4 linked regions of the Mus musculus genome follow. The protein of the gene in region 1 interacts with the protein of each later gene in a pairwise test. Links are inferred from orthologs where the notes say so. Each region holds a gene or a part of one and is shown in the gene's direction. Other genes may lie near its edges. The genes, in order: Vti1b, Creb3, Ptpn5 and Trim59.

The links.
Region 2: the proteins of Vti1b (region 1) and Creb3 interact in a two-hybrid assay, tested with the Homo sapiens proteins (2 studies listed by BioGRID and IntAct). The two-hybrid records come from large-scale screens. The link is inferred for Mus musculus from reciprocal best matches to the Homo sapiens genes VTI1B and CREB3.
Region 3: the proteins of Vti1b (region 1) and Ptpn5 interact in binary tests that used the Homo sapiens proteins (3 or more experiments, as listed by UniProt). The two-hybrid records come from large-scale screens. The link is inferred for Mus musculus from reciprocal best matches to the Homo sapiens genes VTI1B and PTPN5.
Region 4: the proteins of Vti1b (region 1) and Trim59 interact in binary tests that used the Homo sapiens proteins (3 or more experiments, as listed by UniProt). The two-hybrid records come from large-scale screens. The link is inferred for Mus musculus from reciprocal best matches to the Homo sapiens genes VTI1B and TRIM59.

The regions. Positions count from the first base shown.
Region 1 is NC_000078.6:79,157,112-79,164,803, reverse strand, and holds part of Vti1b (vesicle transport through interaction with t-SNAREs homolog 1B), read left to right. Parts: intron 1-4,221; coding exon 4,222-4,395; intron 4,396-6,894; coding exon 6,895-6,956; intron 6,957-7,692. UniProt on the Homo sapiens protein: V-SNARE that mediates vesicle transport pathways through interactions with t-SNAREs on the target membrane. These interactions are proposed to mediate aspects of the specificity of vesicle trafficking and to promote fusion of the lipid bilayers.
Region 2 is NC_000070.6:43,559,659-43,567,976, forward strand, and holds Creb3 (cyclic AMP-responsive element-binding protein 3), read left to right. Parts: upstream 1-2,999; 5' UTR 3,000-3,154; coding exon 3,155-3,301; intron 3,302-3,391; coding exon 3,392-3,548; intron 3,549-3,622; coding exon 3,623-3,693; intron 3,694-3,810; coding exon 3,811-3,900; intron 3,901-5,602; coding exon 5,603-5,709; intron 5,710-5,808; coding exon 5,809-5,877; intron 5,878-6,461; coding exon 6,462-6,546; intron 6,547-6,635; coding exon 6,636-6,720; intron 6,721-6,810; coding exon 6,811-7,139; 3' UTR 7,140-7,403; downstream 7,404-8,318. Other genes in the region: Gba2 (non-lysosomal glucosylceramidase), read right to left, coding at 7,531-7,809, 8,067-8,258. UniProt on the Homo sapiens protein: Endoplasmic reticulum (ER)-bound sequence-specific transcription factor that directly binds DNA and activates transcription. Plays a role in the unfolded protein response (UPR), promoting cell survival versus ER stress-induced apoptotic cell death.
Region 3 is NC_000073.6:47,074,898-47,082,419, reverse strand, and holds the end of Ptpn5 (tyrosine-protein phosphatase non-receptor type 5), read left to right. Parts: intron 1-446; coding exon 447-557; intron 558-2,812; coding exon 2,813-2,973; intron 2,974-3,060; coding exon 3,061-3,174; intron 3,175-3,501; coding exon 3,502-3,595; 3' UTR 3,596-4,622; downstream 4,623-7,522. UniProt on the Homo sapiens protein: May regulate the activity of several effector molecules involved in synaptic plasticity and neuronal cell survival, including MAPKs, Src family kinases and NMDA receptors.
Region 4 is NC_000069.6:69,040,032-69,048,459, reverse strand, and holds the start of Trim59 (tripartite motif-containing protein 59), read left to right. Parts: upstream 1-3,717; 5' UTR 3,718-3,847; exon of another isoform or gene 3,848-4,054; intron 4,055-4,114; exon of another isoform or gene 4,115-4,202; intron 4,203-4,617; 5' UTR 4,618-4,692; intron 4,693-8,428. UniProt on the Homo sapiens protein: E3 ubiquitin ligase involved in different processes such as development and immune response. Serves as a negative regulator for innate immune signaling pathways by suppressing RLR-induced activation of IRF3/7 and NF-kappa-B via interaction with adapter ECSIT.

The DNA.
Region 1 (7,692 bases):
GCTGCTTTTAAACTCCAATCTGTCTAACTATGTGCCTAGAATTCTTTGTGAGCTTAGATAGACAGGTAGATAGGTAAACAGACAGACAGAGCAGTACTTTGTCTCTCCCAAACCTAGAAACTGTTCCAAGCTAGACTCTGTATTTTGACCTGTTGGTCGAATTCATTTTCTTCTTGGGCTTTTCTTTTTTTCATATACATTTTAGAATCATTTTCTTGGGTATACTCTCAACATTCAGTTGGATTTTAAGTGTTTGTTTTGTTTTTGAGATAGAGTCTGGTATTCTCAAGTAACTATCCCATCACAACCTCCCAAGCAGCTGCTGCTCAGTTAGATTTCTAATTCATCACAGTATTTTTTACAAGATTAATCCAAGCTTTCTGTTAGCTTAATATATCAAGATGGCCCTGAACCTGGCAGAGAAACACAGAGTACTTCTCAGTAGGGCCATTCTGACACCTTGTCTTGTAAAATCAGCCAGACTGCTTCTAAGTCAAATGATTCTGACATAATATTGGGCTTCAAGAACCCATATCTTGAAACCATCTGGAGAAGCTGACTAGTTAAAGGAATAAAATAAAAAAACTTCCAAAGTTTAATTTAGTGTGCTGTATTTGGATTATAGTCCACAAAGAGCAAAGTTCACATAGAATTTGTAAAAGGAATGGAAAGGGACCCAGCACTGCAAAATTAATATCTATAGAAGGGCTAGCAGGAAAACTGTAAATGCTATGTCAGGATGTATTTTTATTAGAGTGTGAGAAACAATGTTCTACTGACTTAACATTGCTGAAGTTTAAGCACATCTTTTGGAGAGGAATGTAAAACATTGGCATGGAGACAGATGGCAGCAAAGGTAAGAGGCTGGGAACCCCAGAGTCATGGGGCAGGCCTGGGAAGCCATACAGTGAGGAGATGGAGGAGTTCAAAATGAGGCTTCCGTCAGTGCTGCATCCCTTGGAGGCCCCATAGACCTCTCTGACAAGCTCCGTAGCTTCTATCTCAAAACACAAAACACAAGACTTGGTGCTCACAGTGATTGGACTTAGAGACTTAGAGAATGGAGAGGGTCAAGCAGCTGCAAACGGTCATTATCCAAGTCAGAGTCTGTGTCAGCTGCAATCCTCCTCAGATGGCAGCCAGACCAGCACATTTTGTGTGGCAGCATAGGCAAGCACTCATTGCCAAGGTCACAGGCATTGATGGGTTGCTGGATGCCTTGTATGGCAAGGTGCTGACTGAAGAACAATGCCAGACACTTTGTGCAGAGACCACCAATCAAAGCAAGATAAGGGAGCTTTTCAGCTTTGCTCCAGCCTAGAACCTGACCTACAAATACTTCAAGTTCCTGGGGTATGCACAGCCCTACTTGGTAGCTGATCTGCAGCAGATCTGAAGTATCTTCCCTAGCAGTGGCCCCTACATTAGTTCCTGGCTTCTTAGACACAATTTTTGAAGAGAAAACAAAACAATTTTGAAATGGATGCATGTGAGTACACCAGTGAAGGAAGGCTGAAAAGGGCAAATAGAATTTGTTAAAACAGATATTATAAAAAAAATCACTCTGGTAATTTTTTTTTCTAACTTCCCCCTCAAAAAAAGAGTATTGAAAAGTCCAAACATTTACTTTAAATTTATTAATTTCAAAACATGTAAGTCAACTTGAAAGAGGATTGTCACCATGATGCCAATACTGGCCTCAAATACCCCGTAGAGCTGCTGACTCAGCAGCCCGAGTCCATAGTATAGATAACACCTATACCTTCAGTAGGATTATCCCATGTCTATCTGAGGCTGATTTATGTAGCTAAACATGTGTGCCTTTAGTGGGACTATCCCATGTCTTTCCAAGGTTGATTTATGTGATGTTATCTTTTCTTGCTCTATTTTATGTGCGTAGGTGTCTACCTCCATGTTCACCATGTGCATGCAGTTCTCACAGAGGCTAGGTGAGGCTACTGATCCCTGAAACTGCAGTTACATATGGTTGTGAACCAGTACGTGGGTGCTGGGAATTAAACCCATGTTCTCTGAACGACAGCCAGTGCTAATCCCGGAGCCATCGCTCCAGCCTCTCTTTATTACATTATTTATTTTGTATGTATACATAAGCACGTGTGTGGAAGTCAGAGGACCACATGCAGGAGTTCCCATAACTGAACTCAGGTCTTCAGGCTTGGCACTGAACCATCTCACCAGCACCATTTTAGCTGCACTGAACCTCACTCTATTGACCAGGCTGCCCTCAGAGCCATCCTCCCACATCTGCCTCCTAGATGTTAAGATTGCAGGCGTGCACCACACACGATGGGATTTATTTGATCCTCAGTGGTTTCTTCACTTACTCGTCTGTATGCTATTTGTAAAGTAGACATTCTTATTTTAAGAATCTAATTTAAGAAAAAATTTGAGAGAGTATATAGTCCTTGAACTCCCTATTGTGCATCAGGCTAGCCTTGAACTCACAAAGATCCTTTTGCCCCTGCCTCTCTTGTGAGTGCTGGAATTAAAGGTGTGCACCACTGTTCCAGCCCAAGAGGCTAATTTTCTCTTCTCTTTTTTCTTTCTTTTTTTGATACAGGATTTCTCTATGTAACCCTGACTGTCCTGGAACTCAGATCTGCCTGCCTCTGCCTCCTGAGTGCTTGGATTAAGAATCTTAATTGTTGATGACATCTTATGCCATTTGCCACCTGCTCTGTAGTAAGTTCTGTGAGCTGAGCCCCTCTTGATTATGTGTGCTACCCCATCTCTGCCCATCTTTATTGATTCTGGCCAGACGTGGGCTGCTTTTGTAGTCGTGCTGCATTTAGGATTAAAGAGAAAAAAACTTCAGTGAAGATTTAGAGTTCTTGGGAAGTTAGGGAAGCTTGCTTGAGGTCCAGATTCCCCTTCTCTGTGAGCAAGTCACCAGCGTGATCACTTGAGAGTGCTGTTTGGCATGAGGTGATGTTCTTTTTTGGTGGTATTGGTGGAGTTCACAAACAGATTGTAGCCATAGAACTTTTTTCAAGAATGTATCAATGTCTCTAGCTTTTAGTGACTTCTATGCTGAGAAAGAATACCTTATTTATGGTCTATAAATCTTCAGGACCAGTCAAATGGGAATCTTGAGGGAACTAATTATTTTCTAGAGTTCTGGGGAGTTAGTTGTTTACTTGTGGCCCTATGAAAGGCTAGCCAGGCATGACGACACACATTTACGGTTCCAGCACTTGGATGTTGAGCCAGGAGGGTCATGATGAGTTTGAAGCCAGCTTCAATTACAGTGAGACTGTCTCAAAAAACAAAAATGAATAAATATTTGAAAAAGTTTTAACTTTTAAAGTCACAAGCTTAATCAGGTCATTTTTGCACACACTACCACCTTCTCAAGTCTGGATGCTGACTGAAGTTGCTAGTAACCAATTACAAGTTTATAATGGATTTTAACTGGTCTACAGGAAAAATGCTCCGATTTTTTTCAATCTATTTTCAGAAGTATAACAGGAAGTGGGATGTACCTGCTTTAGTCTAGGACCTTGAAGAGGATCTTATGGTTCATTAGAATCTTTGATTCAATTTTAAAAAGCACAGCTAACCAACTCTTCATACCCACTGCAGCTGAATACCCAGTCAGCTTTGGATTGAAAATATTTTTTAAAAGTATTATATTTATCCAGGCATGGTGGCACCTAGCTTTTCATCCTTGCACTTGGAAGGCAGAGACAGATGGATCTCAGTGAGTTGAAGCCAGGCTGGTCTACATAGTAAGTTCAAGGTTTGCCAGGACTACACAGTAGAACTCTGTCTCAAAAAAAAAAAAAAAAAAAAAAAATTCCAGTTTTGAGGGATCCAATACCTTCTCCTGGCATCCATGGGCACCCTGGTGCACATGTACACATGCATAAATAAATCTTTAAGAATGTTTTTATTTGATGAGCATCTATTGATGATTTTCTTGTCATGATTCTCTTGAACAATATTTACATAATATTTACCTTTTCTCAGGTATAAGTAATCTAAAGATGATTTAATGAATTGGGAGGAGAGAGAGAGAAAGAGAGAGAGATGTTATATGTAGATACTTATACATAGGACTTCAGTAGAGTGCCCTAAAATCAGTTTCCTGCAGAAAGAAAGGAAAAACTGTAGTGAAAGAAGAAAGTCACAAGGAATGTATTGACAAAAAATTCTTAATAATGGAAGTAGCCTAAAACTTTTCTTCCTTACTCCTGTCAGAATCGACTACAGTCTCAAAGAGCATTACTCCTACAAGGCACTGAAAGCCTGAACCGGGCTACCCAAAGCATTGAGCGTTCTCATCGGATTGCCACAGAAACTGATCAAATTGGTACAGAAATCATAGAAGAGTTGGGGGAGCAACGAGACCAGTTGGAACGTACTAAGAGCAGAGTAAGTCTGGGCAATGTGTAAAATCGGAGGGTCCTTCATACCCAGATGTCGTACTAAAGCCAGACACTACAGCAGTTCTGAATTCTGGAAATAACTCTTTTATTCTCTCTCTGGGAATAACAGCCCCCTCCCCTTTTCACAATTTTTAAATTGCTGGGCTAAAAGATTCCCCATTAGAATTAATACAGAGCCAAAGGAGATGGATTAGTCGATAAAGTCAGTACAGATGTCCATGCATTTGCAACCCCAGAGTTTGGGGGTAAGGATTAGAAAAAGTTGGATTTTTGGAGCTTGCTGGCCAGCCCAGTGTATTGAGAGGTCCTTTAAGGTGGTGTAGCCAGTTTTTGTGGGTTCTTCTACCCTTCCCCACCCTCTCAACCCCCAACACAAGATAGGAGAGGAAAAAGGAAAGAGAGGAAAGGGGGTGATGTTATTGTTAGGCTACTTCCTGCTGACTAGGAGTATAGAGCTTCTTGTGTCAAGTTTGATCTTCAAGATTTCTAATTTCTTCTCATCTCTTTGTGCTTAACTGCTTGAGAAACCATGACCAACCACCAACAGCAACAATCAATCCATCTTGTTTCTTGGGACTCTAGCATTTATATACCCTCTGAAAAGTCCCCAGAATTCCAAACATCACACAGTCACAGAAACTATATGCTGCTGGCAAAATCACACCCCTGCACGAGGCAAATCAAAGTCAGCTGCTATGGACAATCTGAAGTAGCCCCATATCTTATACCTGGGATTAAAACAAAAACATATTCTTATATCTCTGTGGGGTTTTTTTCCTAAGATTTATTTTTATTTTATGTGCATTGGTGTTTTGACTACATGTATGTATGTGTGAGGGCACCAGATGCCCTGGAACTAGAGCTATAGATAGTTGTGAGCTGCCATGTGGGTGCTGGGAATTAAACCTGAGTCCTCTGGAAGAGCAGCCAGTGCTCTTAACCACTGAGCCATCTCTCCAGCCCCTATTTCTGTGTTTTAAAGAAAGATAATAATGCCAAAATTGCCTACAGTGTGGAGAGCAGTCAAGGAAGGTACCCTCCATACCCACACAGATGTGCACATACAACAGACATAAACACACAAAAATACGTAGATGTGTCTATAATATTTGTGAGTTGAATCTTGCTATTTAGATCTGACTGCTGGCCTGGAACTCAGTGATCCTCCTGCCTCTGCCTACTGGGATTAAGGTTGTGTGCCACCATGCTGGGCCGCAAAGCAATAATGATTTATACTATTTCATGTCTCGCTTTATTCATGAAAAGAGAATGTGAAAACACCAGTAAGGATTCAGTGAAAGGAGATTTTAATTTCAGGTCTAACAGCATATTTTTCTATTCTTAAAAAAAAAAAAAATTGTGTGTGTAGGTTTTTTGCCTGTATATATATCTCTGTATCACATGGTCCTGGTGCCTAAGGAAGCCAGAGACATCAGATTTCCTGGGACTGGAGTTATGCTTGTAAACTGCCATACCCATCCCGGCAATAAACTCAGGTCCTCTGGACAAGCAGCAAGTGCCTTTTTTTCTTTTTCTTTTATTTTTTTCTTTTGGTTTCCTGAGACAGGGTTTCTCTGTGTATCCCTGGCTGTCCTGGAACTCACTTTGTAGACCAGGCTGGCCTCAAACTCAGAAATCTGCCTGCCTCTGCCTCCCAAGTGCTGGGATTAAAGGCATGCAACACCACTGCCCAGCACAGCAGCAAGTGGTTTTATGTGTTGGGTCACCTCTCCAGCTCTGTTTTCCTATTCATGACAGCTCACAACCATGTCTCCAGTTCCAGGGGATTCGATGCCCTCTTTTGACTTCTGAGGACACCACATATCCATGCGGTGCACATACATACATTCAAGCAAACACTCATACACATAAAAGTAAACCCTTAAAAACACAAGCAAATACCAACTCAGGAGGCTCTCCAAGTATTTAAGTGATAAGATTCAAATCATAGGTTGCCCTGCAGTCACTGGCCCAGCATAGGTAAAACCTTATAGCCTATATGGCAGTCAGAAAGGCTTGGTTTTAAAACTGTGGCACTATTCTCCTCCCCGCCTCCCTTTTTTTTTTTTTTTTTTTTGTTCTTTTCCTGAGGCTGGGTCTCATGTAGCTCTGGCTGTCCTGGAACTCTCTGTAGACCAGGCTGGCTTCAACTTGCCAAGCCTGTTTCTGGGATTAAAAGTGTGCGCCACCATGCTACCATGCCTGTCGCTTTCCTATCTGAATAGCCAAGGTGAAGGATTAGTGACCTCACAGCCGCCCATGCCTATAGGAACAATGAGATATAGTGCTTCCCTCCTTAATGAGCACCCAAACACCTTGACTTTTCTAGGTTCCTTTACTTATACTTAATAGCTTAGATATAAGCTATTAAATTCATTTGATTCTTTGTGTCTTAACAAAGACCTTTTTAATGCCCATGTTCAAGTTCTATAGATTTTTTTTTTTTGGAAAGGATTAGGAGATGACCTATTATTTTCTCTTCCAGCTGGTAAATACAAATGAAAATTTGAGCAAAAGCCGGAAGATTCTTCGCTCAATGTCCAGAAAGTAAGTTTCAAAAACCCCCACAAATTCTTGACATTTAATGTATTTCAACTAAGAAAGCTTAAACCAGTGACTTAACAAATGTCCTGGTAAATCACCTTGGTGCTCCCCAAGCCCTGCTCCCTGCCCCGAAGTCACTCAACAGCAAAGGACAACATAGTCTGTATGTTACATATCTCAGGAGATTGGTAAATTCATAGATTGTTCCAACATAAATAGTGGGAAACCTGTCTGCTGAACAATGTCAGTCCCAGTTTCTCTCTCTTAGAGGGGACCTAAGGAACCAATAGAGCTTTTCTGCTCCCGGGAACATGTTTATGAACACCCGGTGTGGGAGCACGGATAGTACTTAGTTCTTGCCTTTTATGGCAGGCCTTTTTTGGGAGTCCTGTCTTGTTAGCAAGAAGTATTTTAAAAGAACAAAAACAAGCTAGCGGGAGGTAAAAGCGGTTGTGGCATGAGCCTGACGATTGATAGGAGAGCGCCATCCCCAAAGCTGTCCTCTGACTGCCACAAGTGAACTGTGTAGGATGCACATACCTGTGTTCACTAATTTTAAAAAAACTAAACAAAAAAACCAACCTTGAGGTAACTCCTAACTGTAGTTAAAAAAAAAAAAAGGCCGAAGGGAGATGGTGCCATTTGGGCTAAGCTGGGTACCTAGTGTGGCGTGTCCTTGGTGCATGTGAGCTAACAAGAGCTTCAGAAATCCATTCATAGAACAAGCAGTGGGAGAAGA
Region 2 (8,318 bases), on another chromosome or scaffold:
GAGATCTCGGAGGAATGCCCAGGAAAGTGAGGAGGCAAGCTGGCTGGAGCACGGGGCACCTGCAAGGGAGCAGCGGTGGGGACGTCAGGGTTAAGATGGAAAGGCAAAAGCGGAGAGAGCAGTATGAGGAACCTAACTGACTGGAGGGGAACAGGAGGCCAAGGAAGCTTTAAACAGGGACATCCCCAGCACTGGGTTTTCGGGCAACTCTGGGGCCAAGTTAGGAGGAGACTGTATTAGTATAAGCGATAATAAAGCCAGAGTTAAAGCTGTATGGAGAGGAAGTTGCCATTCAGAAGAAAAGTAGAACTGACATACAGGACTCAGAAAACTGAAGCCAAAATCAGCTTCCTATGACCAGTACCCATTTACTGACTAGACAGCTTCAGTTTAATAAACCAGGGAAGGAGAGGGGACTAAGTCAGGATGTGGGAATGACGCTGGGTGGTAAATGATGCGATAGGAAGTATCTGTAGCAGGGGCACAGAGGTGGGGTTACTGACAGTATTAGGCTGTGGCTGGGGATCACAGGGTGTAGAAAAAGAGACCAGGAGCGTGATGGTAGGGAACAGACACATGATGAGCCACTGAGCAGGTGGGGAGGGAAAAGCATGAGTCCATGGATGCTGACTAAACCGGGGATGACAGGGAGGCCGGAGGCCGGGTCAGGAGCTCCAGAAGAGCTAGGGATGTGGTAAGCTGCTAAATTGGGCTAGTGGGGAGAGAGTGAGAGAACACTGACAGCGGCTAGGCAACCCTGGGTTGGAAGGAGAGGCAGCATGGGGAGGGGACAGTGTTGTGGTCACTGGCAGGGTCAAGCTGGGAGTGACATGGGGGTGTGGTCAGTGGCCTGGCTGGGCGTGGGATCAGTAAGACCAAGTTTCCTCTTTGGGTATCATTTCCTCTTTTCTGTCGGGGAGTGGGGGAAGGGGATCCACAACTGGACCTAGAAGTAAAAGGAGGCTCAGAAACCAGGGGGTACACATGGGAAGAGCCCGGTGGCGGGGGGGGGGGGGGTTCAGCAGCTGACCAGGTGGTATGCAAGTATGAGAAAGTGCTCTCCGATGTTGGGAAAGCTCAGGTTTGAGGGACATGAAGTAAAGTAGGATGTGTGGATCAAGAGACAGAGACAGGGGTGTGGGGGTGGGAAATGGTTCAGATGAACAGCAGGAGACGAGCTAAAGACCACGACAGTATCTGTAAGGAACTGTAAAGGTATGCAATGTGGGACCAGGGAGGGCAAAGAGACAGAGAGAAGGCAGTGTGTGGAGAATGAGGGAGGCTCGAGTCAAACTGTCATCATTTAGTCGACAGCGTTCCCTTGGTCAGCTTCCCCTCAGTCACAGGCTTCCTATTCCCCATCCTCACTTAGGACCTTGTCTGACTCCTGGGTCTCTTTCCATTTCCCACCTCCCACCTCGTAAACATCACAGCCCAGAAATCCCTGTCTCCCAGTGGTGGTGGCCTCTGGAAGCCTTGTGCTTAGGCAGTAGACTAGAGAAAGCAGAGTCCTGGCACTTCTAGCTGAGGTCCAGAGCTCTAGCACTTCTTTGGGTAAAAGAGGCCTCTGTAACTGCACAGGAATAAGAGAACTCACTACAAAACAAAGGTAGCTACTTCCTGCCAACTTCTTACATTTTACCAGCTCAGCTGTAGCTGCAGCCTCAACCCCTAACGCTATCACCAATTCCTAACATTAATGCTGACTTTATTTCCTATTTCCCTATACATTGACATTCACCCCTTTCCCAGAAGACACCCATACTAATCTGGCTTTTATTTTTAGGCCCAAATCCCCCAAATTTAACCCTAAATACTCCCTCCCACCCCACCCTGCAGTTCTAAAGCTCATTTGTAACTTGGTTCTTAATTAACCTTTTCACTGTTTATTCTTAATACTGACCATGACACCGGCCTTTAATCCCTAAAACGGGCATCTAAGCCAATTCCTGTTGATCCTTAACCCGATCCTGTACTCTGACTTAATGCTGGTCATTGCAGAAAATAATGACCTCAGTTTAAATGTCACATATGCGAAACAGACTTGACTCGTGCAGCAAATGTTTAGAATGTAGTTCACCTTCTTAACTTCTAAAGGGATCCTTGCTTCCTAAACGCGACGGCACCTAACCCAAACTCACCCCAAGTTTTCCTAACCACTTACTCACTATCGGCTAATACCAAAGCCCATCCCCGCCCAGTGCCTCACTGCCACCCAGTGCCTCACTGCCACCCCATTTCTACCCGTCCCCAAACCTAGCCGAGACAGAGAACTGTCTACCCCCGCGAAAGGGCCTGCTTCTCGCAACAAGGCCAGCTTAATTCCAAATCCAAACCGAAACATACTGGACCCTGACCTCCCTAACCAGACACAGGATATGCAGGAGGATTGGGGGCCCCGCCCGCCGCTTCCCGGGCTGGCCCGATCCCGCAGCCCCACCTAGAAGCTCGGCCCAGCCCGTCCGGCCTACCTGCGCTGCCCGGCTCTGCGCCCCGCCCTGGGCCCGCTACCCGCTCCTTCTCCCGGTCGCTTTTGGGGCTCCGGCCTCGCCCTCCCTTCGACACACTCTCGGCCACTTCCGTCCTGGAAACGTCCCCCACCCGCCGGCGGCGCCCTGGGCCCGCGCTCTATGGTAGCGGAGACTGCAGGAAGCTGCTCTGGCCGTAGTTCTCGATGCTCGGGCGCCCGCGAAGCCTGGCCGCCCCTCCCCAGCAGGAAGCGAGCGTGCAGAGCTCTGGAGAGAACGCCCGAACTAAGCTGGAGTTCCCTTTTAAACGCTTAAGTTTTTTTTTTTAATAGCTCGAGGCGAAGGCGGACAAGGATCCTCAGAATCCCCGCCCTGGGGCGTGGGAAGCTTGAAAGGACGTCCCCATAATTTGCATAGCCCCCGGGACGTGGCGCAGCCCAGGAGCCACTTCCGAGTTGGAGAGAACTCCAAGTCCCAGGATTCCACGGGGCTATGTGCACCACTTCCGTTGTGTTGGAAGCTGAGGAATACAGAAGCTGAGAGACGGGTGCGGTTTAGAGTGACAGCTAGGCCCTTGTCCCGGAGTGACGGAGGTTAAGTCGAGCCGACTGGACAGACTGAGGGGTCGTGCCTGAGGTTCGGAGGTTGGATCTGCGCGGAGGGATTTCTATCCATAGATATCCCAAATGGATCCTGGTGGTCAGGATCTGCTAGCTTTGGATCCCGGTGATCAGGACCTGCTGGGCTTCCTGCTAGAGGAAAGCGGAGATTTGTGGGCTGCGACTGAGCCGGACGTGAAGGCTCCGCTGGACTTAGAGCTGTCACCTTCCGAGGTGGGTGGGTGGGTGTTCCCAGTGGGGGAAGCTAGGGATGTCCGCGAGACCCAAGGTACGGAAATAAATCAAGGCCTTTGAATTTGATAGAACTCCGTGCAAGAACTGAGCGACTGGGAGGTAGAGGATTTACTGAGCTCTCTGCTCAGTCCCTCAGTATCGCGGGATGTTCTCGGCTCTTCCAGCTCTTCCATTCTCCATGATCACAACTACTCCCTTCCACAGGAGCACGTCTCCATAGATCTAGGTGAGTGTGAAATGATAAGTTGTGGGGGAGGAGAGAGCTCACTGGGCTAGCTGGTTCTACTTTCCCTTTTGCAGATACTGAGAGCTTCGAAAAGGAGGGGTTCCACGTGACTCCACTGCCAGGGGAGGAAAGAGCAGCGGAACAGGTGCTGGACTTGATTTTTTTTTTCAGGATTACCTCACTTTGCAGCAGCCAAGATCCCCCATACTGCTCTGAGAGCTCCATGCAACTCTGCTCTCTTCACTATTTCCTCCATCCTTAGGAGATGTCTAGGCTGATACTGACCGAGGAAGAGAAGAAGCTCTTGGAGAAGGAGGGGCTCACTCTGCCCTCAACCCTTCCTCTCACTAAGGTAAGGCTCCTGTTGGTAGAGCAAAGGCTGGAGGGGGTTGGTAACCCAAGTAGGCAAGCTCAGTTTGTTTCATATCAATCACTTGCAAAAGGACAAACCAACTCCTACAAGTTCTCTCATCTCCAAACACACACCCACGTCAAAAGATAATGTTTTAAATGTAACTTTAGTACAGAGCCTTGAAAGTGAAGGGCCTTGATAGCTTCCGTTGTTATCTTGGGACCTCGAATCATACTCAGTGGTAGAAATGCTTGAGAGGCTGACTCAGTCTAACAACATCAACAATCGTCAAAGCTGGACATGATGGTGCACCCCTCTATAACCCTAGCACTCTGGAGGCAGGAGCAGGAAGGTCTTCACAAGTTCAAAGTCACTTCCCACGTGCTGGGATTACAAGAATACTGCATCTAGTTTTTGTGGCAAATTTTTTTAATGTCATTTGCCTTTTTAATATTGTCTTACTTCTGATATGTAGATATTTACTTATTTGGGGCAGGTGGATCAGCATTAACGGACAGACTTAGCTTCATGTTGAGTTCAGGCAAGCTTGGGCTATGTGAGAAACCATCCCCTATCCCTCTATCACTATTACAAGATGAATGAGCAATATATTGGGAGGAAAGGAAACGGAACTTGGAAATTATCAATAGTGGTTCTGTCCCTAGGATAGTAACTGTCTTGTCTTCCTTTACACTGGCCAGAGCATGCCATAATTCCCCTACCCACTGGGATTGGAGTACAGTACCTCATGAATGTTCATCAATGCTCACTGCTGAGCCACGCCCTCTGGCCCTTGTTGTTAAGGCAGGGTCTTGTAAACCCAGGCTGGGCTGGCCTCAAACTATGTAGTAGGGAAAGAATGCCTTTGAATTCCTGATTCTCCTGCTTCTAACTCCCTCGGACTAGATTACAAGTGTATGATGTCACTCTTGGCTAGTGTCCAAGTTTGACAGGCATTATCAGAGAATGTAAGAGTTAACTTTATTCAGTTTTAGTTTCTGAAAGAAAAAAAGTTGAAAGTACCTTAAGATAAGGATATATTCTATATCACTTTAGAGACTCTAGGAAAATCAAATGAATGGAAATTATAAGAAGATTGATGTTGCTTTAGGATAAGGGTAGATGTTGTTGTTGTTAGTTTTGAGACATGGTCTTATGTAGCTCAGTCTGTCCTCAAAAACTACCCTAGCCAAGGATGGTCTTGAAATCCTGACTTCCTTCTTCTGCCTCCCAAGTGCTGATACTACAGGCATGTACAACCACACCTAGCTTAAGTGGAATTTTTAAAATTAATTAGAGACTGGAAAGATGATTCCGTGGTTTAGAGTACTTTCTGCTTTTCCATGGGGCATGAGTTCAAGTCCCAGCTCCCACATGGCAGCTTACAATCCGAGGAGATCTGACACCCTCTTCTAGCCTATGTGGGCACTAGGCACACCCATTATACATATACGTTATACAGACATGCAGGCAAAACACCCAAACACATAAAAAATAATAAAAAGTCTGGCTTTCTAGTGTTGAATATCTGCTCCTTGGTGTTCACACAGAAGGTAAATGCCTACTGACAGAGAGGCTGTGGAGAGTATTTGATTGGGAAGAAGGTTAGCTGTCTTCCAACATACCTATGTAGTATATATAGGTATAACATACAGGCATATAATAACATACTGTGGGTGACCTTTCCCCCATCTTCTCTTAGGTGGAGGAACAAGTTCTGAAACGAGTGCGGAGGAAGATTCGTAACAAGAGAGCAGCTCAAGAAAGCCGCAAGAAGAAGAAGGTGTATGTCGTGGGGCTGGAGAGCAGGTAAGCAAGGATGGACACGGGGGAAGCCTGGAGGGTCTTGAAGGGAGGAGACACAATATTTTGAAATCCACGTGTCCTCACATCCATGTTGTCCTCTAGGGTCTTGAAATACACAGCTCAGAATCGGGAGCTGCAGAACAAGGTGCAGCGTTTGGAGGAACAGAATCTGTAAGCGGCCATTTGAAGACAATCGGTTTTTTAATGCTTTCTCACTCTTTCCACTGTTCCACATGACTTCCAACTGGATAGCTCAAAAATGCAGACATCCGGAAGTTAGCCATGTCTCAAGCGTGATGGAGAATAAACTTATAAGTAGCTAAGGAGCAATTAAGTACCAAGATAGAGAAGTAAGAAAAGACTGCAGGTCGTCAGCGTCATTGCAGTTGCAGCTGTGGGGATGGGACTGGGAGGAGAGAAGGCTGCATTGTGCTTGGCTGGCTCTAGCTCTGGGGTTGGGTAGAGAGCACAGGGCTTGGTGGGGAAGCACAAGCTTAGTTGATCAGGTACTGCAGCTACTGGAGAGTTTTTCTTGAAGGTATTTAAGTCAGGACAGAGCAGTTTGATTTTTTTTTTGTCTCACTAAGGAATCACAGGCATTTGTGCACAAAGACACTTGGGGTGAGGGGGAAAGGCAAGGAAGCTGAGACTGGATCCACAGCATGAGTGGAGAGGGTAGCTAAGACAGGAGGCCTTCATCGTGCCTTGCATGCTCGGCCAGAGCATGCGCACTACCGTCTCCTCTCGTCTCTTAGGTCCCTTCTAGATCAACTGAGGAAGCTTCAAGCCATGGTGATTGAGATAGCCAACAAAACCAGCAGCGGCAGCACTTGTGTTCTGGTGAGGAGGGTGACAAGAGATCCTTTCCCTGGCAGAGATGGGGTGTGTGACCCAGAGCTCTTCACCCCCTTCTTCTCCCTGTGTTCTAGGTCCTCGTGTTCTCCTTCTGTCTTCTCCTGGTACCCGCTATGTACTCCTCTGATGCAAGGGGAAGTGTGCCCGCGGAGTATGTTGGTAAGAGGCTTAAGGACACCTTCGGGCGTGGTCTGTGGTAGAGAGAGGGCTTCTTCTGTGTGGTCTCCTGACCAGTCTTTGTCTCTTCAGTGTTGCACCGCAAGCTTCGTGCCCTCCCCAGCGAGGACGATCATCAGCCGAAGCCATCTGCTCTATCGTCAGAGCTACCCATGGACAGCACACACCAGTCACTGGACAGCTCAGAACATATGTTCTTGGTCTCCAGCAACTTTTCCTGTGTACTGTACCACGCGCCTCAGGCAGAGCAGCCCCTGCACTGGCCACTCTGGGATCTTTCTTCAGAGATGCTCTTCTCCGACTCCAACCTTCTCCTGCAGGCAAACCTTTCAGAAAGCGAGGGATGGCAACCTAACCACAGCCCTTCTTTGGTCATCTTTCAGGGCAGGTATTCAGGTTAGGTGTGAGGATGTGGGGTGTCCTCAGCCTGAGGACTCCTGTCTGTATTCAAATAAAAAGGAGCAGGGGAAAGCTGGCCTTTGCTCACGTGCTCTGTTAGGATGCCCAGGAACTCAGACACACCACACTAACTAGTTTTCTGAGTATTTTATTTATACCCATATGTATCTGTTGCCCCGTGAATAGATTTGGAGACATTTACTGGCCTTGAATACTTCATCCATGGAAGGACTGGGTAGGGTAAGAAATAAATAAGTGGTTCCTCAGCCCCTTTTTACTGGCACAGCTGGGAAGGAAGAGGGGCGCGATTGTCCTATTGGCTCAGGGCTGCAGGACTTGTGGGAGGAAGGAGGAGGTCCAGTGTGGAGGCTGGGCCTCCACAGTTCAGAGGGATCACTCTGAATTGAGGTTTGCCAGCGATCTCTTTGGTCCACATTCAGGCTGTGTGCTTAGTCCCGTGCCTTGTGTGACTGATGGCCTGCGGCTCTTTTTATGCTGCTGCTGTTGCAGGGCCAGCTGCATGGCCCAGATGCTCAGTGGCCGCATGTAGGCCAGGGAGCGGAACACTTGTTGCTGGCAGTATGCCTCTGGGGTCTGGAAAGCCAGGCCCAGGCGTTCCCATACAGTGCGGTAACAGCCTTCAGCTGTCCGGAAACCTTCCCAAGTCAGGCCCTGTGGGGAGACGTAGAAGTCACACATAATAACTGACTCTTGGCACAATTACCTTAGCTGAGCAGAGAAGACAGGAGGCCGTTCGCCCTAAAGGCAAGAACTTAAAGGCAAGAGGTGGAACACTTATTAGGGAGAAGGGCGCTCTGTGGACGGATAAGATGGCAGGCAGTAGGGTGTTCTTGGAATAAAGTTAGTGGCTGAGGAAGTTTTCTGGACCTCAGTACAAATGGTGAAGGGCTGGGAAGAGAATTCATTACCTCTTGGATCATGGTGGCTGCCAGCCCATAGACCACACCCACCCAGACTTCATCAGACTGCACACTGGATCTATCAGGGACACCATGAGGGTGCATCCCGTTCACGGCCCCCATGGCTCCTCCTGCAAAGGCTTGGACGTTGAGTTCAAAGATGGTTTGGAGAGCACGGACCACATGCAGGGTAGGAAATACCTGGAGGGAGAGCAAAGGTGGAGTCTCAGACTTGCCTCCCACCTCCAGGGAAACCCAGAC
Region 3 (7,522 bases), on another chromosome or scaffold:
AGGAATCGAGTTTTATCCCAATAAATAAGTCCAGGTGTGGTATATGCATGCAGCCTTATCCCCAGTGCTCGGGAAGCCAAGAGACAGACAGACCTAGGCCTCACTGAACTTACATGGTGAGTTCCAGGCCCACGAGAGATCCTGTCCAAAAAACCAAAGTGGACTGCCCATGAGGAACAACACCTGAAGTTAAACTCTGACCTTTACACACAAGCACACAGACACACACACACACACACACATTATCCTATAAGATGGTATCATTTTCATTTTTCAAATGGGAGAAACTGAGGCTCAGAAATGAGAAGTAGGTCACAAGTTATGAAGTCAAGATTTCGACGCAGACTTCTAAAACGAAGCCTGTCGTCCTTGTAGACCCCAGCGGAGCAGGAAGGGATGTGGAAGAGGAGTGGGAATGTAACCCAGCCTGATCTTGGTCCTTGCAGAAGTGCACAGAATACTGGCCAGAAGAGCAGGTGGTCCATGACGGCGTGGAGATCACCGTGCAGAAAGTCATCCACACGGAGGACTACCGGCTGCGACTCATCTCCCTCAGGGTGAGGCATGGACCTAAACAGGAAAGGGATGTTGGGGAGGCTTAGTTGAGACCCCCACCTGAAAACAGTACTGAAAGGCCTACTGTAGGTGACACATCGACCCACGGCACTCCCAGCACGTACTGTTAAACAAGGGTCAATAGACTCAGACGCTAAGCCTTGCTTGCATGTGCCCTACGCCCTTTCTGTGCACTGCCGACCATAGCAGCTCTCCTCCACATCTTCCCAAGGCCAGCACTACCTGGGCAAGGAGGCTTCAAGGGCTTCCAGCATTGTCCTTATCGTAACTGAGAGTTCCTTTACGAGTTTGAGTGACAGTAATGTCCCTTCCACTGGGGTGCTGGCTTCCAGTCTGATGCACCCAAAATGTCCACCAGCAGAGGGCAGGCACTCCTTGCTGCTTTAGGACACACAGTCATGGTTACAGGAAATGGCAGGAAAAAAAGGAAAATGCACAAAATATGAGCAACACGAAGCAGCCCAGAAGGGTGGGGAAAGGGCATCCTCCTGCTGGAAAGTTGTGCCGTGTCCGGGATAAGCAGAAGAGGAGGGCTGCTCCTTTGGGGGCATCAAAAGATTCTGGTTTGGAGAAGCAGTGGGATGTATTTGTGGAGGTGAAGTCCCCTGTGATAACCCAGAAAGGTAGAGAAGTTAAGTCAAGCACCAGGAAGCTGATGCCCAATTCAGAAACAGCCTGATGCTGATGCTAACAGCCATGGGGTTCCGCCACAGAAAAGAGCTCAGGGCCTGACATTTGTCCCTCTGAGCGCCTCTGTCTCTCACTGGATGCAGTGCTGGGCAAGATGCCAGGGTGCCTTAGCCCCCACACTGTCATGGGGACAGTGTCCATATGAGCATCTAACACCAAGACTTCCTGAAAACCTTGAAAGCCGGGGGGGGGGGGGGCAGCTGCTGTCACAGCAGAGTGACCCAAGGACATGAGGAACCATCTCCCAAGTAGAGAGGCTAGGAGACAGGCTAGAGAAGAACCAGGGTGTCTGGGTTTGAGGGTGTTTCCAAGCACCTGCTTTGTGGTTCCGGGTCGAGTACCGGGGGCATAATTGTGTCCTGGATTGTTTCTTCAAGGAGCACCTGTAAGATGGTAAACACCAAGTAGTACAGGCAAGAATACAGAAGGGCAGTATGCCAGATGGCGTGCTCTGGGGTGAGGTGCCTGGCAGTGCTGTATGGGGTCCTGGAGGACTGGTAAGGGGTGACTAGTAGGGGACAAATGGAAAAGCTTTCCCATACATAGAAGGAGCAGCTGTGCATGCAAGCACACGTTGCCTGGATTGTGTCCTCCCAGGGCAGGAAGGATGATGGAGTGAGGAAACTTCCTGGGGTCTCTAAGGATATGAATCACATCAAAGGGGTGAACTCCTGCCCCATCTTCAAATTCTCACACAATGGAAAGGAGGTTTCAACATACGAAGTTGGGGGAGGAAGCCACCGCATTCAGTCCACAGTAAAGGGTTTCTTGGTTTGGTGTGGGATTAGAGGCCAGAACTCTCTTACTGAACTACATTCCCAGCCCTTTTTTCACTCTTTTGTTTGTTTTGAGACAGTCTCACTAAGTTTCCAAGGCTGGCCTAGAACTTGCACTGCAGACCATGCAGGGCTTGAGATTGTGATCTTTCTGCCTCAGGCTTCCAAGTAGCTAGAATTACAGGCCTGAACCATCAGACCAAGCCAGGTCTTAAACACAGCGCAGGGTATCCAGATTCGTGCTGGGGAAGGATCATGTTGATGCTATGGGTCTTTGATAGTCAGGGAGGAAGAAGGTTGGATCTTCCCACCATGGGATGGTAGAGCAGAGAGGAGGCTGACAGCAGCTAATGAGGACAGTGGGGTGGGCAGACAGAGCATAGTACCTGTGTTCTTGGTCATGTGACTAAGGGGTGCCTGGGACATCTGTCAGGATAGGAACTGTCAGACAGTAATAAGTTGGAGAAAAGCCCCTTTGCTTTTCTTCGATGATTTCAGAGTTTAGAGGCTAATGCTACATGCACGCACACGTGCGCGCGCACACACACACACACACACACACACACACACACACACACACTGATCTGTCTTGTGCCATTAAGCAGTATGGTAGATGGGGGACTACAGATTCCCTACTCTCATTCCTCCCTTCCCATCTCCATCTTTGGATCAATTCTGAAAGCATTCACATGTACTTGGGGGGTGTTCTCTCTCTCTCTCTCTCTCTCTCTCTCTCTCTCTCTCTCTCTCTCTCTCTCTCTCTCTGACAGAGAGGGACTGAAGAGCGAAGCTTGAAGCATTACTGGTTCACATCCTGGCCTGACCAGAAGACCCCCGACCGGGCTCCCCCACTCCTGCACCTGGTACGGGAAGTGGAGGAGGCAGCCCAACAAGAGGGACCCCATTGTTCCCCAATCATCGTTCACTGCAGGTGGGTTCTCCTGGCCACCCACTGGAGCCGGGCCACCCCATCCCTGGACTGCTCTGTCCCTTACCCCATCATCCCCTTGGCCCTCAGTGCAGGGATTGGGAGAACTGGCTGCTTCATTGCCACCAGCATCTGCTGCCAGCAGCTGCGACGTGAGGGCGTGGTGGACATCCTGAAGACCACGTGCCAGCTCCGTCAGGACAGGTTAGCCCGCTGATCAGGGGAGGAGAGGGTGGCAACATGATGTGAGCGTGAATCGAGGGATAGCTGACAAACCAGACATAGTGTGTAAGGTGGCTAGGGAACTGAAAAACCAAATGGGAGAGCACAGAATCCAGTCAGCTCTCTTCTGGAAGAAGGCAGAAGAGAGGCAGCTGGTTTGGAAAGACAGTGCTGAAAACAAAGGTGTGGCCCTGAAAGGAAGGGGCAGAGGGCAGTGGCTGGGAAGAGTTGGTCTCTCTAAGCTGCAGACTAGCTGGTGCCCCTAGTGTTGGTGGCCCTCCCGCAGCCTACTGCATCTCTACTGGGCAGGGGTGGCATGATCCAGACATGCGAACAGTACCAGTTTGTGCACCACGCCATGAGCCTCTATGAGAAGCAGCTGTCCCTCCAGTCCTCAGAGTGACCACGCTCTTCCTCTGAGATCCACTGGGTACTGCCAAGCCTGAGGCTGGGTCTTTACCCCAACTACCCAAGATCTTGCCTTGGGTCCTGGGCCTATTCCCTGGCCCTCCCCCTCATCCTCCCCTCTCTTCAGTCTGTTCCCCATCTATTGTCCTGGCCTGGTCCCTACCCCAAGCCTAGCTCTCCTACTGTATATACTGCAGAGTTGGGGAGGGCAGGGGAGGAATGTGCCAGGCCAGGCCTGGGGCCCCTGGGCCTGACCCACACCATATAGACCTGAGGGCCTCAGTTTTAACCATGGTTCCACAGCTACTTGGTCCAAAATGTTTCCATGCCACACCCCAAGTGTCCTACCATAATGTGTTCTGTCTGTCCATCTATCACAGCTATTTGTACCAAACACTGTGTCCCCTCAGCCAGGAAAGGAGCACTGAACTAAGCTCTCACCCCTCAGCCCTCACCCACATCCCCACACCAGACTCCCACCCTGCTCCCCAGGCAGAGATACTGACCTTCCTCTGGCCCCACTGGCTCCTCTGCAAAGGCAGAGTGCATTTTGCTACCAGGATGTGGATGGCAGAGACCAGGCAGGGGAGCACATGATGGTTGACAGAGAGATCCCAGCTAAGACAGTTCCTGGGCAAAGATGAGTATCTCCAGTCTATGTGGCACTGGAGAGGAAGAGGACAGATATAGTGGGGAACCCCAAAGATCTGAGCCCTGAGGGGGGCCTCCAAGAGTAGGATGTGGACAGCTCCAGACCTGTGAGACATCTTTCTGTGTCACTATGGGAAACCGCAAGTGTCTCCCTACATGTTGCTCTGTGTGTGTTCCCTTGTCCATGCGTGTGTTGAGAGCCCATGAACAGGGCATGCATGACTCTTTGGCAACATGTGTTATCTTGGAGCCACGTGTTTTTATTGCTGACTTTAAATATTTATTCCACGGCAAACGGAGACATTTGGTGTCTTTTTTTAATCCGCTCGTGGTCATTGAATAGAGCAATAAACAGAGCATTTTGAGCAAAACTAGCCTCTTGGGTCTGTCATTTCCTGCTCTCTCCTGACACCCTAGGCTTTTGTGTGCACCCCCCACCTCCCCACACCCACACCCACACCCACACCCCTCCCCGCCCCTAGCTCCTGCTTCCCAGCACATGTGCATAAAGTTGGCCCTCATGCTCGCTGGCGCCCCCTGTGGAGATTGTGAATATACATAAAGCTGGGTTTAAAAAAGAAAAAAAAAAAAAAACAGTCTATTAATAAATACCTCAGAATTCCCACTTGCGGGCTGGTGAGATGGCTCAGTGGGTAAGAGCACCCGACTGCTCTTCCGAAGGTCAGGAGTTCAAATCCCAGCAACCACATGGTGGCTCACAACCATCCGTAACGAGATCTGACTCCCTCTTCTGGAGTGTCTGAAGACAGCTACAGTGTACTTACATATAATAAATAAATAAACCTTTAAAAAAAAAAAAAAAAGAATTCCCACTTGCCTTCAGCCCCAGCCCACAGAGGTGCACCACACCATAGGGAACCTCAAAGATGTGTATGGGACGATTCCAGGAAGGCAAAGTAACTAACAGGTCACCAACTACAACAGGTGAGCCAAGGAGCCCAAGGGCAGGGCAAGAAGACATTTCCATCTCACCCAGGCTCCTCTCTCATTGGATAGCACACTCCTTTTCTCTGGAACCCCATCTGAGCTTTAGACACCCTTATTTTTTTTCCTTATTATCCGTGGTATCCCCTCCATGGTTGAATCTTTTAAGGCCCTGCTGGCTGGCCAGTAGCCCTGCCCCAGGGTGACTTCCGTTTCCCAGCAGAGAATCACAGCTACCTTTGCTTCATCCCAGGGGCCAGGGATAAAAGCAGAGAAGTGTCCCAAGTGGCTTATGATCTAGTTCCCTGGGGCCCTTTGTGGGGGAGGAGCTACTCTCAGCCCAGGCCTTACTTCCATGGGAAACTGCTGGTTTGCAGCCGCTATTGGGACCCATGGGGCTAACATGGGGTAAATGGACTAGTCAATAGGTCCAAAGCAGGGATGCCAGCTCAGGGAGATCTCCCACCCAGAGAATGAGCCTTTCTATGTAGATTTCAGACTGAGGAGGAGTAGGAAGGAGGAGGTCTAATGTTATCCCTTGCCCCACCAGGCCACAGAACGCAGCACAAACGGTATTCCCCAGGACTTGTGCTAAGCGGTACATCCACCAGACTCATCGAGTGCCCCTCTTCCCAGTACTGGAGAGACAAACGCCTCTGACTTTTTCCCCAAACCCTGTTAAGCTGTGCGTGCTATTGTGCCCAGGCACGGACAGGCACATATGCCAACCTGAGCCCCTCAGCTTGGAGAGGTCCCAACCTACAGCAGTGAGAAGCAGAAGGCATAAGGCACAGGAAGCAAACTGCTTGCCTGCCGCCTCAGCTTCCCTCAGGCCTGATCCCCGGCATTCTGCCCATTCTTGGGTCCAGCTTGCTCCCCTCCCCTAATTCCTACCACCAAGCTGTGTGCCCCAGTGCTGAGACAAGAGCCTAAGAAAAAGACTCCCCCAAAGGTCTATACAGCATCTAGGGATCTGGCAATGACCAGTGCCTGCTATTGGAACAAAGAGGGAGGAGACCGGCCATCCTACTGGCAGAGCAGTAGCTGAGCCTCCAAGTCACAGGCACAGTATTCAAAGGTTAGAAGGCACAGGTTAGTACAGAAGCTAAGGCTTCCTGCCATCTCCCCTGGAAAGAGCCACGAACTGGTACTTTCTGTACAAGAAAGGGATATGGTCTGAGGCAGAATAAATGGTCTCAGAACCAGAGATGGAAGGTATATAGTAAGGCAGGAACTGGGCACTAGCCTCAGAGCACCTGCTCGGGAGAAGGCTTTAAGCCTGGAGGCCACTGGGACAAGGCAGGGCTGGAGGAGCAAGAATCCCAGATGCTTTTCTTGGTGACAAATCTGGGTAGGTCATTTCAGTCACACATGTTTCCTCATATGCAAAACAGATTCTTAAAAACTACCACATAGCGGGCGTGGTGGCACACGCCTGTAAAGCACTCAGGAGGCAGAGGCAGGCAGATTTCTGAGTTCGAGGCCAGCCTGGTCTACAAAGTGAGTTCCAGGACAGCCAGGGCTATACAGAGAAACCCTGTCTCAAAAAAAAAAAAACAAAAAAAAAAAAACAAAAAAACAAAAAAACAAAAAAACTACCACACAGGTTAACTAAGAGGCAGGTACACCCACTCACTGCAACACCAGGGTTATCATCCAGAACAAAGAAAAAGCCTTGTAAACTGGTATACGGAGACCCCCAAGGCACAGAGAGAACACAGGGGCAGAACTGTGTGTCTGACAGGCCTCCTGACATGTACAGTGGGAAGGCCACATACACATATACATGTCTGCATTGAAGAGATCCAGAGGAAGCCCCATGCACATTGCATGCAGGTCCCTATCTGGGGGCCCGAGAGGCGGTGAGGAGATGTTTATGGTACTTTATGTTTTTAATATATTAAACTACTGGTTCAAAAAAGCATAAGGAAGAAAGCTAAGGCTCTGCTTTGTCCTGTGTCACATGGAAGCAGAGCTGTGGAAACAACAGTCACCTGCCTCACCATCCCAAATCCCACGAGTCCCCAGGACCCCGAAACAAGAGCTAAGCAGCTTCCTTGCAAGGCCTACCCCAGAACGGGATAGTTAGAAATCCCTCCTTGGCCTGACTTCCTTTCCTCCTGACGAAACACCCAGCCCTGCCTTCCTCTCCCACATACCTTTCAACAGGTCCTCCAGCCCTCTGTGAGCCCTATTCAGCTGAGTAAGTTTAAGCCCCTTATTCTCCCTCTCTAGGAACCTGGGATTGTTTGTGTTGCTGGGTGAGGAACAGGCTCACTAGTTCTTCTAACCAGTCAGGGAAGCAGAGATGGAGAGTAAAGAAAAG
Region 4 (8,428 bases), on another chromosome or scaffold:
CCTAGCCAAGCTGTGACTGGAGAGAGGTCATAGACCCCAGAGGAGAATCTCCTTCCATTTTCCTAAACAAATATAATTTCTAACTGTTCTCTAAATATCTATCCTCATCCCCACGTATAAATGTAGCTCTTGTCATCGTCGCTTATCAAAAAAATCTTTTGCAAAAGATGGAGACCATTACAGCTATCCACAACTGACTAAGTAACTGTGAGATTCCCCCTCCCAAATGATACATTTGCAGTATGGGTCAGTTACTAAAGCTTAGGGGAAATTGTTGAAGACAGGGCACAAAGATTGTAAGAGCCAGAGGTCCAGGAACTCTGCTGTGATATTGTGTCCCTTAGACACAACAAAGCCAGTGCACTGTGTTTCTTAACTGTGAGTCCCGTCCTTCTGTGTTGCTGTAGAAGCTGAGAGGAGTGAAGTCAGAGGGCTTGCAGCTCATCAGCGCTGTGGAAGCCCAGTGAGTGTTCTCTTTACCCAGCTGATGCTTAAGACAGAACTTCAGGGAATATTTCGTGGCTATTTGGAGACTCTGGAATTCTTCCCAGGTAGTATATCCCTAGGAGCCTCACACCCACACATTGCACAGCTTGGTGGCTGTGAGCTCATGGTGTACAGTCACCTCAGCACTCAGGAGTGCCCCTGCTCAGTATGCCTCTGCTGGGGCTTGTTTGGCCTGCGAGTTGGCACAATTGGATAGGACCTTCAGCAGTTCCACATTAGCAGTGGAACATTAGTGCAGTGACTTTGTTTCTCTTGGATTAACCAAGGATTTGATTAATCTGCAAGCATTAACCAAGGAAGACCTGCACAGTCTCAGGTCAAGTTTTTCCTAAGTTGGAGGTGAAGGGCAGATACTTGGGAAACAGGGCTAAAATCAGCGCCCTCAAGCCCTTCCCAGAGTTGAGTGCCTGTGTTCTACTGGTAAACAGTGATCTGCCTCACAATTCACTTGAGGTCAGAAATCTATCTTGAGGCTGGAGCTAACATTATATTAAACAATGTATCCTGGGAAGGAAGAGCTTGCTAAGACTTGTAGCCAATTCCTTAGCAGCTGGCAACAAAGTTATCATTGTATGACCTTCATGGCTCACCAAAAAAAAAAGCAAAACTAGCAAAAGAAACATTTTCCCTGGGCCTGAAATGTTAGAGAAATTTGTCACAGAGATATAATAACAATTTTGTTTAACAATGGCTGATTATTTATTTACTTATTTAGGGTCAAGGTCTCAGTATGTAATCCAGGCCTCTTGCCTCAGTTTCCCATGCACTGACATTACAGGCACATACTATTAAACATGGCTTTCTCCATGATTCTGAAGAAAAGCATTATTGAAGAACATGCTTTTTATGTATGTTTCGAGATAACGTCCCAACCTCGTGGCCCAGGCTGTCCTCAAACTCATGGTATAGACTATGCTGGCCTCTAAATTGCAGGGATCCTCCTGCTTTAGCACTAGAGGTTTGACCACATTTGACGTGGAATACATTCTTTTTGTTGGTAGTGTGTGTGTGTGTGTGTGTGTGTTTCTAGACAGGGTTTCTCTGTGTGGCCTTGACTGTCCTAGAACTAGGTCTGTAGACTAGACTGTCTACTAACTCCTGAGAACCAACACTTCTGCCCCCAGAAGCTGAGATTAAGACTGTATGCCATGACTGTCTGGCATGAAACCCATTTGCTGGGTTACAGTTTGTGCTAATTCTCACAGAGTGAAGGGCTGCCTCAAGTTAGGTGGGGTTGGTATGCGGATGACTACAGCTGAAATCACTTGAGGAACTCTGACGTTAGCCAGGACCAGCGGGCCTGCATTTTCCTGTCTGCAGCAAACAGATTCTTGTGGGAAGACTCTCCTTCAGATAAGAAAACCAGAAAGTATCCTTGCTGGCCAGAGACTTAGATGGGGCTACAATGAACGTTTCCTAACAAGCTCCTTGAAGTAATCCTTAGCTTCTACTAGCTTCTGTCTGTCCCCATCTTTTTAGTATCTTTTAGTAACAGCCCTAGAACTTGCCTTCTAATACAAATATATGTTCGCTCTGTAATTCCTCAAGAGTTTATTGTTCTTATCTAAGACAGTATACAAGCTTCTACTGTTTTTATTTTTATTTTTTATGTGTACGAGTGATTGTCAGTGTAAGTATATGCCATCTGTGTGTGTCTGCAGAGCCAGTCAAGAGTGAGCTTAGATCCCCTGGAGCGGGAGTTACAGGCAGTTGTGAGGGGTCCACAGTCATGCTGGGAACTGAATTTGAGAATAGTAAGTGCTCTTAACTGCTGTTACCTCTGGTCAGTTAAAAACAAATAAAACCCCGTTTATCTATTTCTTTAATGTGTGGTTTGTAACGTGCATGCATGCGTACATCACATCCTTGCTTAGTGATCTGGGAGGCTAGAAGAGAGCATCAGATTCCCGTGCAACAGTTGTGAGCTGCTGTGTGGGTCTTCTGGAAGAACAGCCAGCGCTGACTTTCTGTTTCAAAGCTCAAGACAAAAAGTTTTCAAGCAAGGAGTCTGAGGAGCGCCAAGAAGATGTTAATGTGCGCTCAGCGGTTTGGCTTTTCCATGGTGGGAACTGAACACGCCAGGCGAGCACTGGAACTGAGCTACACCCCCAGCTCAGAAGTCACATTTCTGTTCATCATCTTTCCGATATTATACCTGTAACAAAACCACGTATTTCCCATCCTTTATCCCGTTTCTCAATACTCTATCACAAAGGGAGTATTGGGAGTGTGTATATCGTAATGGAAGACACCCAAAGCAGCTGATTTTTTTTTTTCAGCCCAAAGTTTTCGAAGGCTGACGCCCCAACACATGAGGTTTTTAGGTTTACGACTTTTACGCTTTGGTGCCTGTATTTGAATTGTAATTTCTAGTCTTTCTTTTCCAGACCAACACTATCATCTATAGAGCGCATGAATAACAGTTCATAAATCCTGAGTAGCGCTGCCGGTCAGCGTGGAGCTGCCTTAGTGCTAAGGCTCCTCTTCTCTGCCCCTTCCCCATGTTTGGTTACAGAACTTTCTGGCAGGGTCGGGCACTCTATGGACCTGTAAAGCACACTCCTTGAAGGCACAATCCATTTTCCTTCCTCTACGCCCCCTCTTTCCATCTTGTCTCCGAGGTCAAGTCTTGCTGTGAGTCTTAGGCTGACTTGGAATCTGCTCTGTAGCTCACACCGGCCGGGAGCGGAGAGCGGTCTGAGCTCTGGAATGGCGTTTCTCCGAGAAAGTGAAAAGCCACTACTGTGTTTTCTGACCCAGCGTGTTAGAGAGGACAGGGAGGACACAGATGAAGGCTTAGGCGCGCCTAAGTTGGAGGACCGGAGCCTCACGGGGGCGGGCGAGCGCGCCGAGCCCTCCAGCCGGTGACTGAACAAGGAACCTGTGAGGTAACAATGGAAGAAGCCTGCGCGCCGCCAGCTCCAGAACCATCCCGTGCGGGCGTGGTCCTAAGTAATAAGCAGTCCCTCAGCCAGCCGCCTCCAGAAGCCGCCGGGTCACCCGCGCATCCCCGCCCTCGCGAGGTCCTGGCGCCAGCCCTTCCCCCCCAAGGCGCGACCCCTGCCGCCCGTGCGCTTTCCGCGCCGCGCGCTAGTGCGCAGGCGCCTGGCCCTCGGCCGTTGGTGTTCAAAGGCCGCCCGCGCTCTCTCATTGGCGGAGGCGGCGCGGTTGAAAGTCGCTGCGGCGCCGCCGGCCCCGCCCCCGCCGGGCACCTGAAGACTCGGGCGAGCGCCTCGCAGTGTCCGCACCAGGCTGCCCGGGAGCCCTCGCCGTGCGCGCCGTCGCCCGCCTCGCCCGCCTCGCCCGCCTCGCCCGCCTCGCCCGCCTCGCCCGCCTCGCGGTGAGTACGCGGCTCCGCCGGGGAGGCGGCTCGCTGCCCCTCTTTCTCGAGCGCCCGCGGCCCCGGTGCGTTCGCCGCCGACTTGAGGATGGGGAGGCGGGCTGGGCTCCGGAGGGCGTGCGCTCGCCTCTCCTCGCTTCGCGCGCTCGCGGGTGGAGCAGCGGCGCTCCGAGCTACCGGCGGGATTGAGGTCGTAAGGGCCGGTAGGTGAGCCTAGCAGATCCCGCAGCACCGCGCGGGGCGAGTGAGCCCTGGGCATCCTGGACAAGAGGGTGTGACTGCCATCTTTGAGCCACTTCTTTGTTTGGAGTTCACGTAGGACTTATGCCCATTGTACAGATGTGAACCTTCATAGGTAAAACTGAGGCCTGCAGCGTTTCGGAGACCACCCAATGTGTTGATGGGAATAATTTAACGTAGTTTCGAGCTGGGGATATCTACGCGCGAGGATATTTCTAGTCGTCTTGCTGAGTTTAAATAAAACTTTGAAGCGGGGCATGAACGTGCACGCCTGTAACCCCAGCATGGGGGCAGACAGAGGCAGCAAGCTCTCCTGTGCGTTCCAGGTCGTCAGTGAGGACTACAAAATTAGTCTCAAAAAACCCACCAAACCAAACTATGAGTGTTTAGTTCCCATCATTGGTTAATCTTGTCCAGAGTCAGAGATTCGTTATGTTGTAAAAAGTCCTTTGTGTGGAAATGGTTGGGACTTTAAAGATGAAATATTTACTGCAGGCAAAATCTGAAACATTAAATTGTTTTACTTTTAGAATAACAAAGGATCCTGGAAAAGTTGGAGAAGATAAAGTACACCCAGTGTCCAGATCAGGAGATTGACAGACCAGGTAAGCTCTGGGAAGTTAACTGGATACGAAGAAACATCAGGATATTAGAGTGTGTGATTCCTGGGCTATGATGAAAGATTGAAAAATCTCTTGAAAAAAAGATGTATATTGGAAGTGTATAAAATTTTAACCATCTTATGGAGGAAGCATAAAGTGAGAAATGACCTAATCTAAAAGGTATTCAGTTTTTTGTTTGATTCTCCCCCCCCCCCCAAAAAAAAAAAAAAAACCAAAAAACAAAAAACCATGGTTTCTCTGTGTAGCCCTGGCTGTCCTGGATAATTGCTCTGTTGACCAGGATGGTCTTTAACTCAGAGATTCCTCTGCCTCCCAAGTGCTGGAGCCAAAGCCATCACTGCCTGGCTAAAAGATTTTCACTTTTATCTAACAGACATTTTATAAGCATGTGTGGACGTCTTAAGTCATGCACACAAAATGGTATTGCCTTACACGTTTGCACGCTGCATTTATTATTCAAGCTACCTTTATTCCTTTTTGCCCAGTATTACACATTGATCTACATTTTTAGTGAGCCAAGGTCCTGTATTTTAACCTGGTAAAAAGTAAAATTTTGACTTTGGGTAATATATATATACTGACATTGCAAATATGTTGCTGAATGTTTTCCATCAAATATATTTTCACTTTGAAAAACTATTTTTTGAATACTGTGTTTTATGTATATTGGTAGACACACTGTTTTCACATTAGTCTTCACATGCACACTAGGAGAGGGCAACAGATCCCATTTCAGGTGGTTGTGAGCCACTGTGTGGCTGCTGGGAATTGAACTCAGGACCTTTGAAAGAGCAGCTAATGCCCCTAACTGCTGAGCCATCTCTCCAGCCCTAAGAAATAGTATTAAAAAATCAGTTAAAGTATAATTTCTCATGTCAATTCCTGGTTAAGTTACATTAGTAGCTTCTTTCATAGCTTTGTGGAATAGGTTTATATTAGAATGAAACAGAACAAATCAGTAAAGACTTAAAGTTAGATATTGCTATAGTATTTTTTAAAATTATAATTATATCTAGTACAGTCAGGACTATACAGAGAAACCCTGTCTAGAAAAGGAAAAAAATTATAATTTTACATTTACACATGAAAATATTTTAAATTCTTCTAGACTGAAAATTAACATACAGTATATAAAATATGTCTCAACACAAGATTTTGTATACGTCTATAGTGACTGAGAAAAGTTTATTTTAAAGTTTTGTCTTATGGTAGTATATAAATGGCATAATCATAGCAATTCTCTCTTCGCCCCCCCCCCCCCCCAAGCCTGTAATTTCACACATTAGACTTTTTTATCAATTAGGGCCACAAGGCTGTGCAGCCCAGAAGTGGGTGTAGCACGGCCTGAGTTTTCCCAGGCTTCTGTGGCAAGTCATGGAGCAGTGTGGTTTGGGAAACATAATTTCCTTGGAGATTGTAAAATATATAAAAATATATAATTCGACCCTGTGTGATGGATGGCATATGGCTTACAGTCTCAGCTTTCAGAGGTGGAAGAATTCAAAGTCACCTTTCCTATGTGTGCAGTTTGAGGGCAGCCTAGAACACATGAGACCCAGTTCAATAAATGAAACAAAAGTAAAAACTAATGAGTATTTTATGACATTCATGCTCAAAGATGAAGAGCAGTTAACTGTTGTGAATTAAAATCTAGAAGCACAGGATTTTATATCTGGGATCCTTGTAGACGTAAAAAGTCAGTCGGTTTTGTAAAAGGATGAGAAACTTAGGTGTGTTTATATTTAAACACAAGAACTTCGTGAAATCACTTACAAATAGATAATTGAGCCTTGCGATAAAATACCGTGACCCAGTATTAACCTGTTTTTTATTTTTTTGGTAACTTAAATTGAAGTGGGTTATCTTGCTTAACTATCAGTTTTTACTTCAGATTTTAGTACTCATTGGAGGAAAATACATTTCACATGGCTTATTTTTGAAATTGATTGAAATTTATAATCTGACAGGAAAGAAAATAGTTAAAAGGTTTCATAGTTCCTCTTGTGTTTTACAGTGCATACATGTACCATTGAAACCCTTTTAATAATGTAGACAGTCAGTGCCATTACATACATTCACTTTGGTAATCTTCAGTAAAACCCATTTTCAAGATTTTTTCATCTTGCCATATTCTAGCTCTGCACTCCTTAAACGGTGGCTGCCCTTTCCTCTCCGGAGGCTGCGGTCTTCACAATCCCACTTTCTGTTTCTAATCTGATCCTTGCATTGTTTTTCAAAATCTAATGTGGTTACACGGTTCACCCTCCATTGCCCTCACTGAGTGAATTATTTCAGATTTCCTGTTACTCAATTAACAAGGTTCATGCAGTTGTATTGGAGAGTGAGCCTAGAACCTTACTCTATCACTGATGTACAAGCCCAGCATAGTCAGGATGGGCATTCTTTTAATGTACTCTCTTCATTCTTGCTAATATAGCTAATTCGCTAATTATATTCTATAAAGTATCTGTTTTGGGAAATTAGTCTATTTTTAGTTTGTATAATCTCTGCAGGGCTTTGGGATCCTACTATATACTGTCTTGAAATTTGCATACTTATATTTGTACTCTGGGACTGATGAACAAGAATTGGTTTCATGACCATTTGAAAGGATTCATCATAGATGCTTGCCCCGACCCTCCCCAGCCCCCTGTCCAAGATAGTACTTTTTTAACTTGTAAAATGTTCCAGTTTGCTTTTTTTTCCTGGATCATTCTTAGTAATTTGAATTGATTTGTTCAATACTTTGAATACTTCATTTGTTTTAAGCCATCAGATATATTGGTATAGAGCTATGCAAGATACTGTGTTCACGTTGGGCCTTTTCTCTCCTTTTGTTGCTTTTCTTATGTATTTTTTAAAATTTTTTCCTCTTGTCAGTGCATGTGTGTTCCTCTTTCAATGACCCCAGCTCAGGAGTGTGGGGCTTTGTCTGGTGTCTGAGGTTCTCAGACTCTTCATGCTTGCTGGGAAGCTGCTGCTGCTACGGTTGTTTTTGTTGTTGTATGTGAATAAGTAGCACAGGTACAGAGTTCTGGGGTAAAACCTTTTTCCTTCTAGAACTTAGGGACATTTTGTATATTGTTTTCTTGCAGCATTTCTTTTGGCTACGTATGTTTTCTGACTGTCTGCTTTTACATAACAAACATTTGAAAGCTTGGCTAATTATATTCAAAGAAGAAAGACTTTTTACTAGTATGTCTGGCATCTTAGTGCTGTTTTTAAAAAACCAGTTAGCCCCCACTTTTTCCATAGCATCTGGTTGCTAGGTGTGGTGGCTTCGGTGAAAATGTCCCCCCATGGGTTCCGTAGGCATTTGAGATGAACACATAGTCCCCAGGTGGTAGCACTGTTGGAGAGATTGTGCAGCCTGTGGGAGGACATGTCTGCTTTGAGAGTTGAAAGTCTTGTCTCACTTTTAGTTCTCTCTGGTTCATGCCTGCCTTTAAAGAGTCTCATAGCTTCCTGCTCCAGCTGCTGTGCTGTTCTCATTATGAACTCTAACCCTCTGGAACTGTAAGCCAAAATAAACTGTCTTCTATGAATTGCCTTGGTCATGGTGTTTTATCACACAACAGAAAAGTAACAGATATGCATATAGCTTCTTAAGAATTATACATAGAGCTCAAAGTATTGCTTTCTGACTTATACAAAATTACAAAGTTTTCTGGGGTTGTTGGTAAACAGTTTATCTCTAGATAAAAGGAGTAGCAAATTA